Linked DNA regions of Alligator mississippiensis. The protein of the gene in region 1 interacts with the protein of each later gene in a pairwise test. Links are inferred from orthologs where the notes say so. Each region holds a gene or a part of one and is shown in the gene's direction. Other genes may lie near its edges.

What was found. The genes of interacting proteins can lie anywhere in the genome.
Region 2: the proteins of RASSF1 (region 1) and STK3 interact in binary tests that used the Homo sapiens proteins (3 or more experiments, as listed by UniProt). The link is inferred for Alligator mississippiensis from reciprocal best matches to the Homo sapiens genes RASSF1 and STK3.

What each region holds. Positions count from the first base shown.
Region 1 is NC_081835.1:43,829,915-43,836,943, reverse strand, and holds the start of RASSF1 (ras association domain-containing protein 1), read left to right. Parts: upstream 1-4,013; 5' UTR 4,014-4,244; coding exon 4,245-4,533; intron 4,534-7,029. UniProt on the Homo sapiens protein: Potential tumor suppressor. Required for death receptor-dependent apoptosis. Mediates activation of STK3/MST2 and STK4/MST1 during Fas-induced apoptosis by preventing their dephosphorylation.
Region 2 is NC_081826.1:40,043,849-40,051,318, forward strand, and holds the start of STK3 (serine/threonine-protein kinase 3), read left to right. Parts: upstream 1-4,465; 5' UTR 4,466-4,611; coding exon 4,612-4,634; intron 4,635-7,470. UniProt on the Homo sapiens protein: Stress-activated, pro-apoptotic kinase which, following caspase-cleavage, enters the nucleus and induces chromatin condensation followed by internucleosomal DNA fragmentation.

The sequences.
Region 1 (7,029 bases):
ATTCTGATCTGAAAAGAGTTGTGAGGAGAAGACAAGGCAGCAGGAAGGGTCTGCTTTCCTAGGGAGTTCAGGCTACACCAGAACTACCTTAGTTCTGGTAAGTTGAAAGTGTTTTAACTGGTTACTCATAGCAAATGCTTTTCTTGGGTTTGTTCTTCCCCTGCTTTGGTGTCAGGAACCTGGGAGGTTGCAAAGTCAGAGGGCATCAGTCAATGTTCCTTCTGTGTCCCTTCCTGATTACTTAGAGATCCATAGCAGGGAATGACCCTTGCATTTCTGGCACTAGTGTGAGGATCCTTTCTCTGTCTCGCCAGCTGTGAAAGAACATCACAGCACATGCTGGGCCTGGGTCTCTTTTGCAATAGAGCCTCTGTCTAGAAATCAACTAGGGGCATTCAAGAGCTCGAGCTGAGAGCAGACTCCAACAGGATGCTGACTCCATGCAGGAGCGGGGATATTGCTACTTTACCTGAATCATTCTCTGAGCTGTGACTGGGACTGCAGGGCTGGGCTGGGCTGGGCTGGGCTTTAGAAAATAATCAGAGCTTGGCCTGCCTTACCCCAAACTCCCTAGGGTGACAGGAGGCCAGCCAGTGAACCCTCCCTGCAACTGTGGGAGCAGGGTAACGGGGAATTTTCATGGCTTCTGGGTGCACAATCTAAACTGGAGAGTAAGGAAGAACCTAGCCTCTTCCCAGAGCTGTGGTATGACAGGATATGGGTCTATGTCCAGTTGGCATAAGTCCTCCTCAGAGAGGTAGGGATAAGCACATTTAGAATATAGGGTTTGCTAGTGTGATCTGCCCCCATGGTAAAAGACAAACAGATTAAACAGATTAGCCACTATGTTGGAGGAAGGGAGTAAGCCCAAAGGGCAGAAAAGTGGAGTCCGATCTCATCTACCCTGTGTAAATTTGGAGTCTCCCAGTGAAATTAACAGAATTACTCCACACCTACACTAGACCAGTACCTCTACTAACTTCCATGAAGTGACCCTGAATCTATCGTAGCATCTAGAGCAGGGGTGGGCAAAATGTGACCTATGGGCCAGATGCAGCCCTCCAGGCCATTCTATCCAGCCCACGGGGCCCCTAAAAATTTAGAAAATTAATATTTATCTGCCCCTAGCTGCCTGTCATGTGGCTTGCCAAAACTCAGTAAGTGGCCTTCCACCCGAAATAATTGCCTGCCCCTGATTTAGAGCAACATGTTCACCACTGTTCTCCCTATGCAGGTGGGCAGGTTGTCTGCCTTTGGTGAGGTTTTTACATCCTCCTTTAGAACACCCAACATTGACCACACTTGTAGACTGGATGACTGCTCAGCTGAATTATTGATCTGTTCTGATGCAAGAGGAAAACTATTGTTCCTGATTGCCAATAGCACTATCAAGCCAGCAGGTGGTTAGGGGAAAATAAGTTTTCCAAGATCTGGAAGTACTGGGTCAGCCCAAGAGGAGAAGAGATGGTGACAGGAAAATCACTGCTTATTTCAGTGTCCCCTGCTTTGACCAGCTACCCTGTTAATGCTTCCTGGCAACTCTCACTCCCAGGAAATGGCTTGTCCTTAGAGTAAAAAAAAATCCAGTTCAGTTTGAGCCCGTCCTGGATATTTTTGATCTATTCATCTTGTATTTCAGTGCCAGCAGGAGCCATGCCCCCAAGGAGCTCTCTTTTCCTTGGTTAGGCCCACCCATTGCTCTGATTCTATTTTTTTCCATTGAAACCAGACAGTGAGCTGGTCAAGCTTTGCAGCTGATTGTGTGCAGGTTTTTAACTGCAATACCATGGTGACCACCAGCAACAAACGGGACTGGCTGCCAGCTGACTGGGCTTCTTGGCAGCTGTGGCAGCCACAGGATTTGTGAGGCTGGCCAGAGGACCCTGAATAAACTCCAACATATGGAGTGGCTGGAGCTGCTTGCACTCAGCCAGTGTCTTTATGGGACAAGTTCCATCTTGGGCTACCCCAGCCATTGCACAGCTGCTGCTGCTGCTCTGCAGATAATAGGCCCAGGGGGCTGGGGATGCTCCTCTCTGCAAGGGCAGAGGGGCTGAGAATCAGCAAACAGGAATTGGGTCAGAATGAAGCATCTAATGCTAATGTAGAGGATGAAGTCTGATGTCTGTAAGCTCTCTGGAGACCCTGTTGCTTTCCTCTCATCTATATGTTGTCATTGTGTGGGGAGATGGGTCCGTGAGGTGCTCTCTGCAGATGAAGGACACCCTGGAATGAGGAAGAGGAGGAGCATTATCCTCAGTGTCTCAGTCATCCCAAGCCAACTAGCCTTGAGCAGCTCAGAGAAGGCCAAGGACTGAGGCAAACCCCTTGACATTTTGGGGATCTCAAGATGCTGCCAGCTGCAAGGCCATTGTTTGAGTATGGCACTAGCACCAAGAGTCACCCCAATGAAGAGGTGGAGTCTGTCAGTGCATGAGTGTGTCAATGAGATACTTCCAGCCTTGGTGGGATGGTCCCTGTTCACCCCTCGGGGTGCTGATAGGCATTGCAGTGGACTGAGCCCAGCCTCTTACTGGTTGTTTTGGAGATTCATGGAGATAAGGAAGAGGAGTGAAGAGGAGCTAATCAGCCAAGCTCAACTGCCATTGGAAGAGGAGGAGGTAGCCTAACAACAGCCTTGTGAGCTCACCACCCATGGCGGTGAAGTCCCATGTCAGTTGGGGATCCACCCCCCAACTACTTTTCATTAGGGCTTCAGATTTTTTTTCCACTAGCCATGTTCCACACATCAAACAGATCCCTTCTCTGTGAGTGGGGTCTCTTGCAGGATTGCACAGTACAAAGCATCTCTTTGGGGGTTAAGGCAAGTGTCTCTGGTTCTTGCAATGCTGTGTTCCACAGGCCACATGCCTGAGGGGATCTTCCCCCTGTGCCCTGAGGGGAAGCTCCCACTGGCAACTGAGCTCTTCTAGGCTCTGATGTACCCCAGGTGGAAAGCCTTCCCCTTGTGATGACTCGTAGGTGAAGCAAAGCCCAGCTCCTCTTAATGAGCCAACCCACCCATAACACCCTGCTACTCCCTCCCTTGAGCCATGGACGGTGCCATTTCTACAAGTCTCTTAGCTATGTGCTTTGACCTGCTGATGGCAAGTGGCCTCTCTCAGCTCTACTTGATTTCACCTCCTTCATGGCATAAGCCTGGGCCACCATATGTCCTTTGTTGCCTGCTTCTGTCCACATTGGGTCTGGCCCCATTTCTTGGGAGACTGGTGCAAGCGTGGCTGTTGAATTCCCAGGCAGCTGCCTGGCTTGGAGCTGGGTATTAAAAGCCGTGGCTGGAGCCAGGCATCCTACCAGGAGTGTAGAGAGTAGCAGTTGCTGATGAGGCAGGGCTGGTAGGAAGCGAGGAAGGAGAAAAGATGCATTCCTGGTGCCACAGGCTGCGAGTGCGGTGTGGGGGGACTCACAAGGCACCAGCAGCAGCCCCTTTGCCTAGCTACAGGCTCTGCCCTGTGGGGCACCGCTGGTGGGAGTGAGCTCTGCAGATGGCTGCCTGCTCCTTGCTCCACAGGGAAGCCACTTCCTTCCACCCTGGTTGGACCCATCCGGGAAGGGGGAAGATGTCTGTGAAGAAGAAAGTGAGGCCTTATTCTTTGGGGTGAAAAACGAAAATGGCTCCAGCCCCATTCCTTGCCAGGCTGTGCTGTGGCAGGAAGAGGCTAATGCCATGGCACCAGTAGCGAGGGTTGTCCTCCCCCCTCAGCAAAGCCGGGTCTCACGGGCGGCTGCCAAGCCCCGAGGTGCCTTCCTCTCCTGCGGGGACACCCGTGCCAATGGGCCGCGGCAGCCTCTGGTCGCTGGAGCGGCACCCCCGGCTCTGCCCCGGGACGGGCAGCCCGGGCGTGGGAGCTCCCGGCTCCGGGCTGGCCCGACCCACGCGAGGCTCCAGCGCGGGCGGCAGAAGGGGGCGGGGAGGCGGGCGGGACGGCGGGGCGCCGCCGCCGAGGGGACGGGCGGGAGCGTGACGGGACTCGGAGGAGCCGCCCCAGGTGCCGGGACGGGGGCTCCTCGCGGGCCGCCGCGGCCTCGGCGACGCCCCTGCCCCGCAGCCCTGCCTGCCCTCGGGGCGGCTCCTAGGGCCGGGGGAGGCGGCCGCCCACTCCTGCTGCGGCCGGGCCAGCCCCCGCGGGCCGCCGGGGAGGGGAAAGTGAGGCGCGGAGCGAAGGAGCGGGGACCGGGCGGCCCTCGCAGCCCCGGCGCAGGACCGGCCCGGGTGCCCGGGGATGGCGCGGGCGGCGCGCGGGGGGCAGCAGGAGATGATCGAGCTGCAGGACCTGGCGCCGGCTCGCGGGGGGCGGCTGGAGCGGGCCAACGCGCTGCGCATCGCCCCGGGCCGGATGCCCGAGCTGCTCGGCCGCGTGCGGCACGCCCGGGCCGTCCCGGGCCAGGACCAGGGCCAGGGCCAGGGCCAGGGTCACGCCTTCCGGCCCCGCGCCCGCGGCCACCACGCCTGGTGCGACCTGTGCGGGGACTTCATCTGGGGCGTCCGCAGCAGGAGCCTGCAGTGCGGCCGTGAGTACCTTGCCGGGCCGGGCCGGGCCGGGGGCGCAGCTTCCTTCCCCCCAGAGCCGCGCAGCGACGCCCTGCGCTGTCCCCGTGGCCGGCACCTCCTGCAGGCAGCAGCTGGGCCCCGGGTGCCACTGCCGCGCGAGGGGTCAGGCGGCGGCGGCGGCACCACGCCAGGGACTGCCCGGCTGCACGGGTTGGTACCAGCGGGCTGGGGACTGGACACGCCTGAGCCTGTGGCCAGAGCAAGCCACAGCAGTTTCCCCCTTGCCCTCTGCCCTGCACCCGCCGGGCTTGCACACAAGTAGTGCCCCTCTCTGTTGGCGGCGCTTCAGGAGCACCCTGGCCTTGCACTTGCCGGCAGAGCAGTTTCAATTCAAATGTAAAAGGGCATCAAAGGAGTCTTGTTGATGGGCAGGGGAAGGGGACTGGGAAGGTCACTGAGGCCCTGTAGGGAGAAGCACCCCGTTTGCCCTTGTGCTTGACCATGCACCCATCCAGCAACGGGCCCCTTGGAAATGCCACGGAGAGAGTCCAGTGCTGCCTCCAGCTCACCATGCCCTGCCAGTGAGGCTGCCCTGAGACAAGCCCAGCACTCCGGCCGCACAGCTAGGTTTGGGCTCTGGCCCATGCAGGAGGCTCCAGGTCTCCGGTGTGAGCAGGTCCTGGTCATGCACTGTGTATATCTCCAGCATGACAGAAGTCTGTCCTCACAGGGTCACTGAGCACACTCTGCTCCGGACCCAAAAATGCAGCAGTGAGGCTGCTCCGAGTCAGCCCCACAGCTGCTTTCAAGTGTGCAGGAGATGGTGGGGCTGCAGGTGACTGTGGGGGATGCCCCAGGACAGCATCCTGGTGCAGTTCTGGGTGTGGAGCCTGCAGGAGAGAGCAGGTAGGGAGGGTGCTTGAGAAAGGCCTGACCAGGGCCTGCTGCTGGCTGGGGTCCCTGTGTCCCTGCCCCACAGCAGAGATGTAGCCAGTCAGATTTGGGATGTTGAGCCCTCTGAGTCCTGCCTTGGTGTCTTGTTGCTCTTCTGAGGGTTGTCTGAGAGGGAAATCTAAGGAGCTTCCTCAGTTAGGAATCAGCCCAGAGCCCCTGGGAATGGGAAGTCAGGAGACTTTGGGACACCGCCCAGCACAAACTAGCTTTGGGGGCTGATTGCATGAGTTAAGCCAGGGATTGTCAACCAGGGGTACGCATACCCTTGGGGATACTTGAGACAGCCCCAGGGAGTATGCATGGCGACACAGGGAAGTGGCATGTAGTGGCGGCACAGAGTGGTGAATGGTGGCAGCAGCCACCGTGTGTCACTTCCTCACCCCCCACTACCACCATTCACCATTCTGTGCCTTTGCCACACACTGCTTCCCTGCGCTGCTGGCTTTGTGTCAGGTTGGCTGTGCTGTCAGCATCCCACCCCCCTGCTCCCTGGCCAGCCATCAGCACAACCCCCTCACCGTCTGGAAGGGGGTATACTCCAGAAGGGGTACCCACTAGAAGGGGTACACTCCTTTAAAAAGGTTGCAACCCCCTGGGTTAAGCTGTTCCCTGGCACCAGGCAGAGCTGGATCCAGGGTGGGTGCAGTTGCATCTCCCCCCTCCTCTTCTTTTATTTCTGGTCCCTACACATTTTAAAACCAACTGCCTGGCAGAGGCAGCAAGATTTCTATTCAGGCTGGGGGGACAGAGTCAATTGACTTCATGTCTCATTATCATCTCCCTGATTCCTGCTAATCTGTCTCCACTCCACAAGTGTCAACAATCCTCTATCCTTTTTAAAGGTCTTGATGTTCTGCTAGTCAAACTATTCTTTCTTCTGTAATGCTGCTGTCTGTTAGTTATTTCTGGTAATCTCTTCTGTTTCACAACCCTGTAGACTTTTTAGCTCTAGCTAAAAAGCCTTAGCTCAGGTATGGTAATATTAATTTAGGTGGAGACATGATTGACTGTGAAGTATTGGGGCACTATCCAGATGCCCAAGGTGGCTAGATTTCATTTTATGAATCTGAATGAGATATACATGTAACTAGAATGACTACAGGACTAATGTCACAATATAAATTTCATAGACATTAGGGCTGGAAGGGACCTTGAAGATCATCAAGTCCAGCCCCCTGCCCTAGGGGCAGGAAGTCAGCTAGGGTCAAAGGACCGCAGCAAGATAAGCATCCAAGTGTTTCTTGAATGAGTCAAGAGTAGGTGCCTGCACCACATCTGGAAGGAGTCTATTCCAGGTCTTGGGGGCTCGGATAGTAAAGAATGTTTTTCTTATGTCCAGCCTAAAATGGTCTTGCAGGAGTTTATAACCGTTGGTCCTTGTTTTCCCATGGGGCGCTCTGGTAAACAGCCATTCTCCCAGGTCCTGATGAACACCCCTTGTGTGGCAGTCACCAGGTCCCCCTGAGCCTGCGCTTTTCCAGACTATCTTTTGACTATTTTTGCCTGGTTTGTTGTCTGTGTGTTCTTAATTTTGTATATAATCTAGCAAACTATTGCATGCT
Region 2 (7,470 bases), on another chromosome or scaffold:
CAAAATAATGTTTTAAACTCTAAACGTATACAGAATTCTAATTATATATTCTATTTAAGAAAGATATTGGTTTAGATTTATATAACTATTAAAAAAAATGATGTGCAGCAGTACTGAAAGTTTGTATGACAATTATTTTTGCATTTCTTCCTCTTGTGGTTTTAAACGTGCATATTTTAGTGTGGCTTTAATATAGTTTTTTCCACTTTTCTTTTAGACAACTGTCTGTTCTAGTATTAGCTGCAATCTGGTAAATGACATGACTAAGGCAGAACAAAGGTAATTTATTCATTAATGGTATGAGACCATCAAATGTACACAAACTTATTTAGTGTGTTTAATTCTGCGTAGTTACTGTTACAAGGAACTGTGCCTTGCAGTTCATGTTTGCTTCCCAGGTTACCATTTGGCACTTGTACGTGCTTGCAAATGAAGTGCTGTAGTCAAGCATGTGATTTACAGGATGTAAGAGATAATGCTGTTTGGGCTAACTTTCAAAGTAAGTTGGGCACCTAAATTCAAAACCATGTGGTTTTGAAAATTCTGTTTGGCCAGGGGCAGGAAATGTAGTTTGAGGCAGGGGCTTATTAGTAGCCAAGAGCTATCTTGAGGTAGGAGAGATATATGTTTTCCTGTCCCAGGTCATAGAAAGCAGTAAGAGCTATAAAGCTGTTTCTTCCACACTCAAAAAGCTTAGTGGTAGTTTGTGTAGATGTGCCTGAGCTAGGTTTAAACTTTACTAATGATGACAGAACTGGCAGCTCCAGAATGCAACACAAGCTATAAGGAGATACTCAGGCAGTTTGTTCTTTGGCTTCCCAGTTGTCACCACCCATGTGAACTAGTTTGAGTACATCTGTACAAACTGCCATCACAACTTTGAGTGGAATATAAGGACACCCCCAATCTTATGTTAATATAAGGAGAGAAATATACACCATAGTGATCTTGATTTAGCAGCTGTGGGACTTCTAATAGAAGCAGCAATTCTTTTGTCAATTATGTGATGTGAGAGCACTAGGCAGTTTGAACGGTTGGTGTCTAGGACCCAGGCCAGGTCTGCAGTACAGGCTTCTGTCAGCACAGCTATGTCAGTCTGCAGTGTGGCCCCTGACCAGCATTACTCTGCTGGCAGAACCTTTTCATGTACACACAGTTAATTATACTGGCAAGACTGCTACCATGTATATCACTTTTTTTTCTCTAAGGGGTGGTTTTGCTATACAAGTAAAAAAATTCTAGCTGTCAGTGTAGCTGTGTCCCTGTTTAAAGCCTGTTGCTGGTACAGTATATTGATGTAGCAATGGGTGTGACAGGTTTGCCATTTTGTAGGCATGTGGGGAAAGAAGTAAACATACCCTGCTCTGCATATGGTGGGATAAATATATTTAACTAGCCAACTGCCCGTCAAGAATGATGAGGGATGGGGGGGAGGGAAGTGGGCAGGAACGGAGCCCCATATGTGCCTACCCCTGGGCCCACTTCCCCTTTCTCAACCCGCCATGGTAGACCCTCCTGTGTCAGGCCTGGGCCCGCTCCTTCCCTCCCCACACTGCTGATACATTGGTCCTGCAGGCGGTGACAATGAAAGTGGGGAGGTGTGGGCTGAGGCCAGCGCTGGTGGCCTCACCCCTGCCCCCCTGCAGCCTCCTGACCCTGCTCCCCCCCACCCCATTGCCACTTCCAAGGAGAAAGGGGGGGAGGCAAGGCCAGCTTTGGTGGCCTTGCCCCCTCTACACTCCATAGTCACTGCCTGCAGGGAGCAGGGCAGGGGGGGCAAGGCCAGTGCTTCTGGCCTCACCCCCCCCCATTCTGTCCACTCCATTGCTGCTGCTGCTTGCAGGCAGCAGGGCAGGAGGGGCAAGACTGGTTGTGCTGGCCTCGCCCCCACTCCATCCCCTGTGTCCCTGCCATTAGGGCAGTGCTCTGCTGTGTCATCACCTCCTGTCCCAATGCTGTATTTGCACTCTTATTGGTTGTTTCAGTCAGCCAATCAGTGCGAATAAAGCATTATGGGCAGACAGACAAAGGCTTTTATATTAAATACTACGATGGTACAACAGAATATGATTAGGCTTTCATAGCATCCTTCAAGAGCCCACTTTGCACAAGTCAGCATTTTCCAATATGAACTGAGCCACACTAATATACTCCAAATACTGGGAAAATTGCATTTCTATCTAAATTGGCTGGCACTGTTTTGTTTACTATATGGGGGTGCGTGTGTATAATTTTTTTTCTTGAAATAGCCTATATTAGAAGCAAGGCAGCAACAACATAAGCTACAGCTTTGAAATGGTAAAGATATCTGACTTGACTGGACTTCTGCAGAAACTTGTTTAACAGTTTGCTCAGGACCACCCAATGATTAGGAGTTGTAATGAAATAAGTGAAGGTCAGTAAGGGTGGGATGTAGAGGGAAACTTTGTTTGTGATACACCAAGGTGTTTTACACTAATCATTATTTCAAACTTCAGTGTGAAGCCCCTTTGTGCAGTGAAAGCTCCAGTCCAACTGGTCTATTTTTATATTGCATAATTTAGAAAGGGAATGTGTCTTACAGGAATGTGAATCATCTCCTGCCGACTTCTGATTTTGCCAGTGACTCATGAGACCTTAGAGCTTTTGTTATCTCTTCCACTTATCTTTTGTTAGTCTTATTTAGTTTAATGGAAAAAATACCATTTACTTGCATCCTAGGGGTGTTGTGAGATTTCATTATTAGTGCCAGCAAGGTTTAATCTAGTCCAGGTTCTGAATCCAACAATATCATTTACCCTGAAAGTTTCCAATCAGGTTCAAACACTGTAACAAGCCGAGTGCAGATTCGCCTGAATGCGGCACCGATTCCCATGCATACTTTTTTCCTAATTCAACCTTCCCTTGGGGAAGGTATGTGGAAGGTGAAGTGGACACCTGTGCTTGCTTTAATTTTTTGGATTGCTCTAGCGGGCCAATCTGTCTCAAGACAGAGTATAGAGCACCTAAGGCTAGAGGTGCACCGATACATCAGTCCCAGGTCAGATTGGCACTGAGATAGGGAAAATTGCAAGTAATGGGAATTGGCCTTTTTTGCCTGATGTGGCAGATTTTAAATGCCACGTGCATATGCACAGTTGCAGCATGCACATGAGCAGGAGCACAGCCCGGCAGCTTGGAAAGCAGCATTGGTTGGTAAGCTTGTTGTGGGGGAAGGGCACATTGAGGTCCCCCAGTGAGGGAGTGGAGCTGGGGCAGGAACAGACACTGCCCAGTTGGGGCAGGGTGCGGGATGAAGCCCTGAGCAGCTGGCCTGGGGAGGATGCTCCTGCCCCTGCATGCACCCCAGGAGGCACACACCATCTGTGTGCCCCTGGATCTGCATGTGGGGCAAGGGGTGGGTTGATGCTGCAGGCTGGGGCAGTACTGGGCTCTTCCCAGTAAGGGGCCAGGCTGCGCTAGGAGCAGGGGCTATGGCGAATTCTGGGGTGGCTGCAGGTCTCCCTGTAGCTCCCCTTAGCGCCACTGCTGCCCGCCCCAAGCGCAGCCCGGCCCAGCCCCTGCCAGGAAGAGCCTGGCACTGCCCTGGCTACAGCCCGCCCTCCCCTGTGCAGATCTGGGGGCACCCCACCATGCCATCCTGGGGTGCGCACAGCACCGGGAGCCACCCTTCTCTACCCTGGATAAGCTGCTCGTGGCTCCATCCTGTGCCCCGCACCACGCCGGCTGTGCAGTGCCTACCCTGCCCCACTCCCCCCGCACCGCAGGGGCCTTGACCTGCCCCCGCCCCCCAACAGCCGTACCAGGCAGCCGGCGCTCTCCAAGCTGCCGGCCTGCACGTTCGAATCAGACTGACGTGGGTCGATATGGCACCCAAAAAATCTCCATGGGTGCACCCCTACCTACGGCTCCTCCGGGAACCTGGAAACGGCACAAAGCGGTGGTGGAGAAAGGGCCCAGACCACCAGACGTGCAGGTGTCCTGACACGCAAGCCACACACCTGTGCTTCCTGCCCGCATGCAGCAGCGGTGACTGGCCGGGGCAGCGGGAGCCGGGCCTGGAAGCCCCCTCGGCAGACAGGGCCGCGCCAGGAGCCCTTTGCCTCGGTGCTGAACGGCTGCGCCCAGGCAATGCACGCTGGAGCCGCCCCGCCCGAGCTCGGGGATGGCGAGGTCGTGCCCGTCACGTGCAGGCGACGCGAGCCGGGCCAGAGGCGAGAACCCATGCAGGAAGCGACTTCCTGTGGGGACTCCATGTCCCAGCGTGCCCCGCGGCGGCCCAGGCGGAGCGGGGCACGCTGGGAACGCGTTGGCTGCGCCCCGAGCCCCGCATTCGCCTGCTCCTGGGGGAAGGCGTTTGTTCTCGCTTCCGCCTCCTGGGTCCTTAAAGTCAAACAATTGACGCCGGTGGGACCCAATCCACTTCTTCCGCCCTGTCCCCTCGGGGCCAATGAGAGGAGGGAGCGGGTGGGGCGGGCTTTCAGCGACCAGCAGTCGGGCTGGCGCCAGCCGCGTTTGTCTGAGAGCGGCGCCCGCGGGGGAGGCGCGAGTCCCACTTAAAGGGCCAGCGCCGCCGCGAAGTTGTGCGGAGTTGGCGGGGCGGGTGTGGCTACACCCCAGGCCGCTTGCACCATGGAGCCGGCAGCGCCCAAGAGGTGAGGGCCTGGTCGGGGCCCCGAGGGGAGGGGACGGGGCGGCGGCGGCGGCGGTTGGGGCTAGGCCGCGGGCCGGGCCGGGCCGGGGGCAGCCCAGCCAGAGCTGAGCCGGCGGCGGGTGCGGCGGCAGCAGCTCCCCTGGGCCGGGCCGGCCCGGCCCGGCCTTGAGGCTGAGGGGTTTTAAACTCCTGCAAAGCCTCCTGTTGGCCGGGCAAGGCCAAGCCGGGCAGCCCTGCAGCGGCGCCCGGGCGGGCCCGTGTCCCGCTAAGGGAGTGCCGGGCTCGGCGGGTTGCTCCCCGCTTCCCTCTGCTGAGAGGGGCGTTAAGCTTTCCCCAGGCCGGGGACTCTGGGCTGTGCCAGCGCTCCTGCTGGGACCTGCGGCTCCTGGCTGCGGGGGCTTGCCCCTCTGCTCCGGGGCAGACGCATCGCCAGACGTGGGGTCAGTTTCACCCAGGGTCAGGCTGGTGAGAGCGAGGGCCCCTGTAGTGGGGGCTGTGGCGTGCCCTCTTGGTGTTCGTTGTCAATATTTTAGGGAAGCAGGCCCCTGGCTGCCCTGCTTCACCTGTGGCAGGTTGGGGTGTTAGGTCTGTGTTGTCAGGGTTGAGGGTAGTCTTGTGACTGTAGATTATGGTTGTGTGAGAAGGTTTGGATACAGATGATCCTACCTCGGGCAGGGGGTTGGACTAGATCAGCAACTGGTGGGTTGTGACCCAAAAGTGGCTCGCAAGAAAATACAAAAAGGTTGGAACAAACTTTTAAAGATGAATCAACACACTTAAAACATGGATTCTCCTTTTTAAAGGAGAAAAATGTGGGAAAAACATGGCTTTTCCCTTGCAGGCTGTCAGAGCCTGCAAAGGGCTGCTTGAGGCCTTCCATGCCCCACATCCACTCCCTGCCCCATACACCCACCCCCTGCCCCACACACTGGTGGGCAGGGGGCACTGTGTTGGGACTGGCTATCCATGTTTACAAGTGGGTCCTGGTACAGGAAAGGTTGACAAGCACAGGCCTAGACAGCCTCTGGAGGTCCCTTCCAGCCCTATGTGAGTCAGGGAGGTAAAATCAAGAATGGCTTTCAATAAGCACACTTCACCTTTTTGTTTAATTTTTTTTTCTTTGCCTGTGTCATTTTGAGCCTTTACAGTTTGTGTCTTCAAGCATGTCTCTAACTATGAACACAAGAAACTTTGTAATGAATCTTCATGTAATAATATGAATTCAAGAGTGGCTGGTGTAAATATAATGCCAAGGTCTTCTCTAAACGCGTAGTAGTATTGCTTTGGCTGTATTGGTGTAAAGTGGCACAATCCTGCCTTGATACAGATATAGCTATAAACACGCTTATATCATCTGCATAACATATTGCTGTTTCGGAAGAGGGAATAAGCTATATTGGGGTAGAGCAGTTCTATAACTGACTCTTAATTTTCTATAAAAATAGCTATAGAAGTACAAAAACTGTTTGTGGGCCAGGCTTCATGTCATGAGGCTCTCAATCAAATTTTGAGTTGGTAATACTGGCCTTGCCTCCCCCCACTTTCTCCTTGGAAGTGGTGATGGCTGCTGAGTCCTGGCTTAAATTTATGGTTGGACCTGGCCTAAGGATGTGGGGCATTGGTGGTGTTCTGTGGTGGGGGGCTTTGGCAGTGATTGCTCTCATCATGCCACCATGGAGAGAAAGTGGTGGCCACAAGAAAGCTACCAAGGAGAAAAGTGGCAGTGGGTCCTAGTGCTGGCTCACGTGCCTACCTCCGACCAGAGCTGGGTCATTCCAGTGAGAGTTGCAGGATGGACAGTATCTCTGAATTAAACGTTAGCTGTCTCAAGCTGGATGCCAAATGATAAACACCCCAAGCTGATCGCCTCCTACAGTTTTGGTGTAAGGGCTCACCTGGAGCTTAGCGTGCCTTGTTTTTGGGTTCTACCTAGTACAATAACAGCTATAGTCATGCATTAGTTTCTGTATACACTGCATGGAAATATTTAGGCACTCAATAATGTGATTCACAGGTAGCTCTGCTTAGTGTGCTGGTTTAAAATAATTTATAGGGAATGCTGATGAAAGAATGGGTTGACACTGGCACAGATAAAACCCAGGATTCCCTTGTCCAGGATGAGTATCTGAGCTAGTATGAAAATGGTATGACTCTTCTTCTGGCTGTCTTCTTGGAGAAAAGACTGGCATGGACACCTAAAGCCAGGATAGGTTTTTAAGTGTGAGAATCCCCATGGATATATTGCTGTATTTATTGAACCCATATGTTCCCTTTGCCCATGCGGGCAAGTGGCCTAATCACTAGGTGAGAGAGTTTTGCTTTCTTGATGTTGCAGCACAATGATAATTTAAGTTACCTTATGGCAAGTTCAATTCCTTCAACAGGAAGGAGAACATGCTTCACCTATAGCCTTTTAGCTGAAGCATGGGAGTTGAGAGATGAGGTTCAAATCCCTTCGAGCAGGAGAGTGTGTTTGTTGTTTTTTTTTTTTTTTTTTTTTCCTTCCTTCCCCCCCCCCCATACTCTGGGTGAAGACTGTAGTCATGGATATATTGGATAAAATGAAATCACCACCAGCACCTCTTTCTCTTCCCTTGTTTGTGTGGGATCCAATCCAGTAGGTGTTTGCTGACAATGCTTTTCACTTCAGACCCAATAGGGGGCATAGAAGAATGTTTAGTTTGTAGATCTCTAAAGAGCTTAGGAACCTAGCTTGTCCATCACTGTCAAGACAGAGACAGTTCTGGGTTTTGCAGCAGCAAACATTTAGGTGTTTGGGGAACTATAGTGGTACACACCCATGGGCCTGCAGGCTATGTTGCACTGAAGTGGGAGTT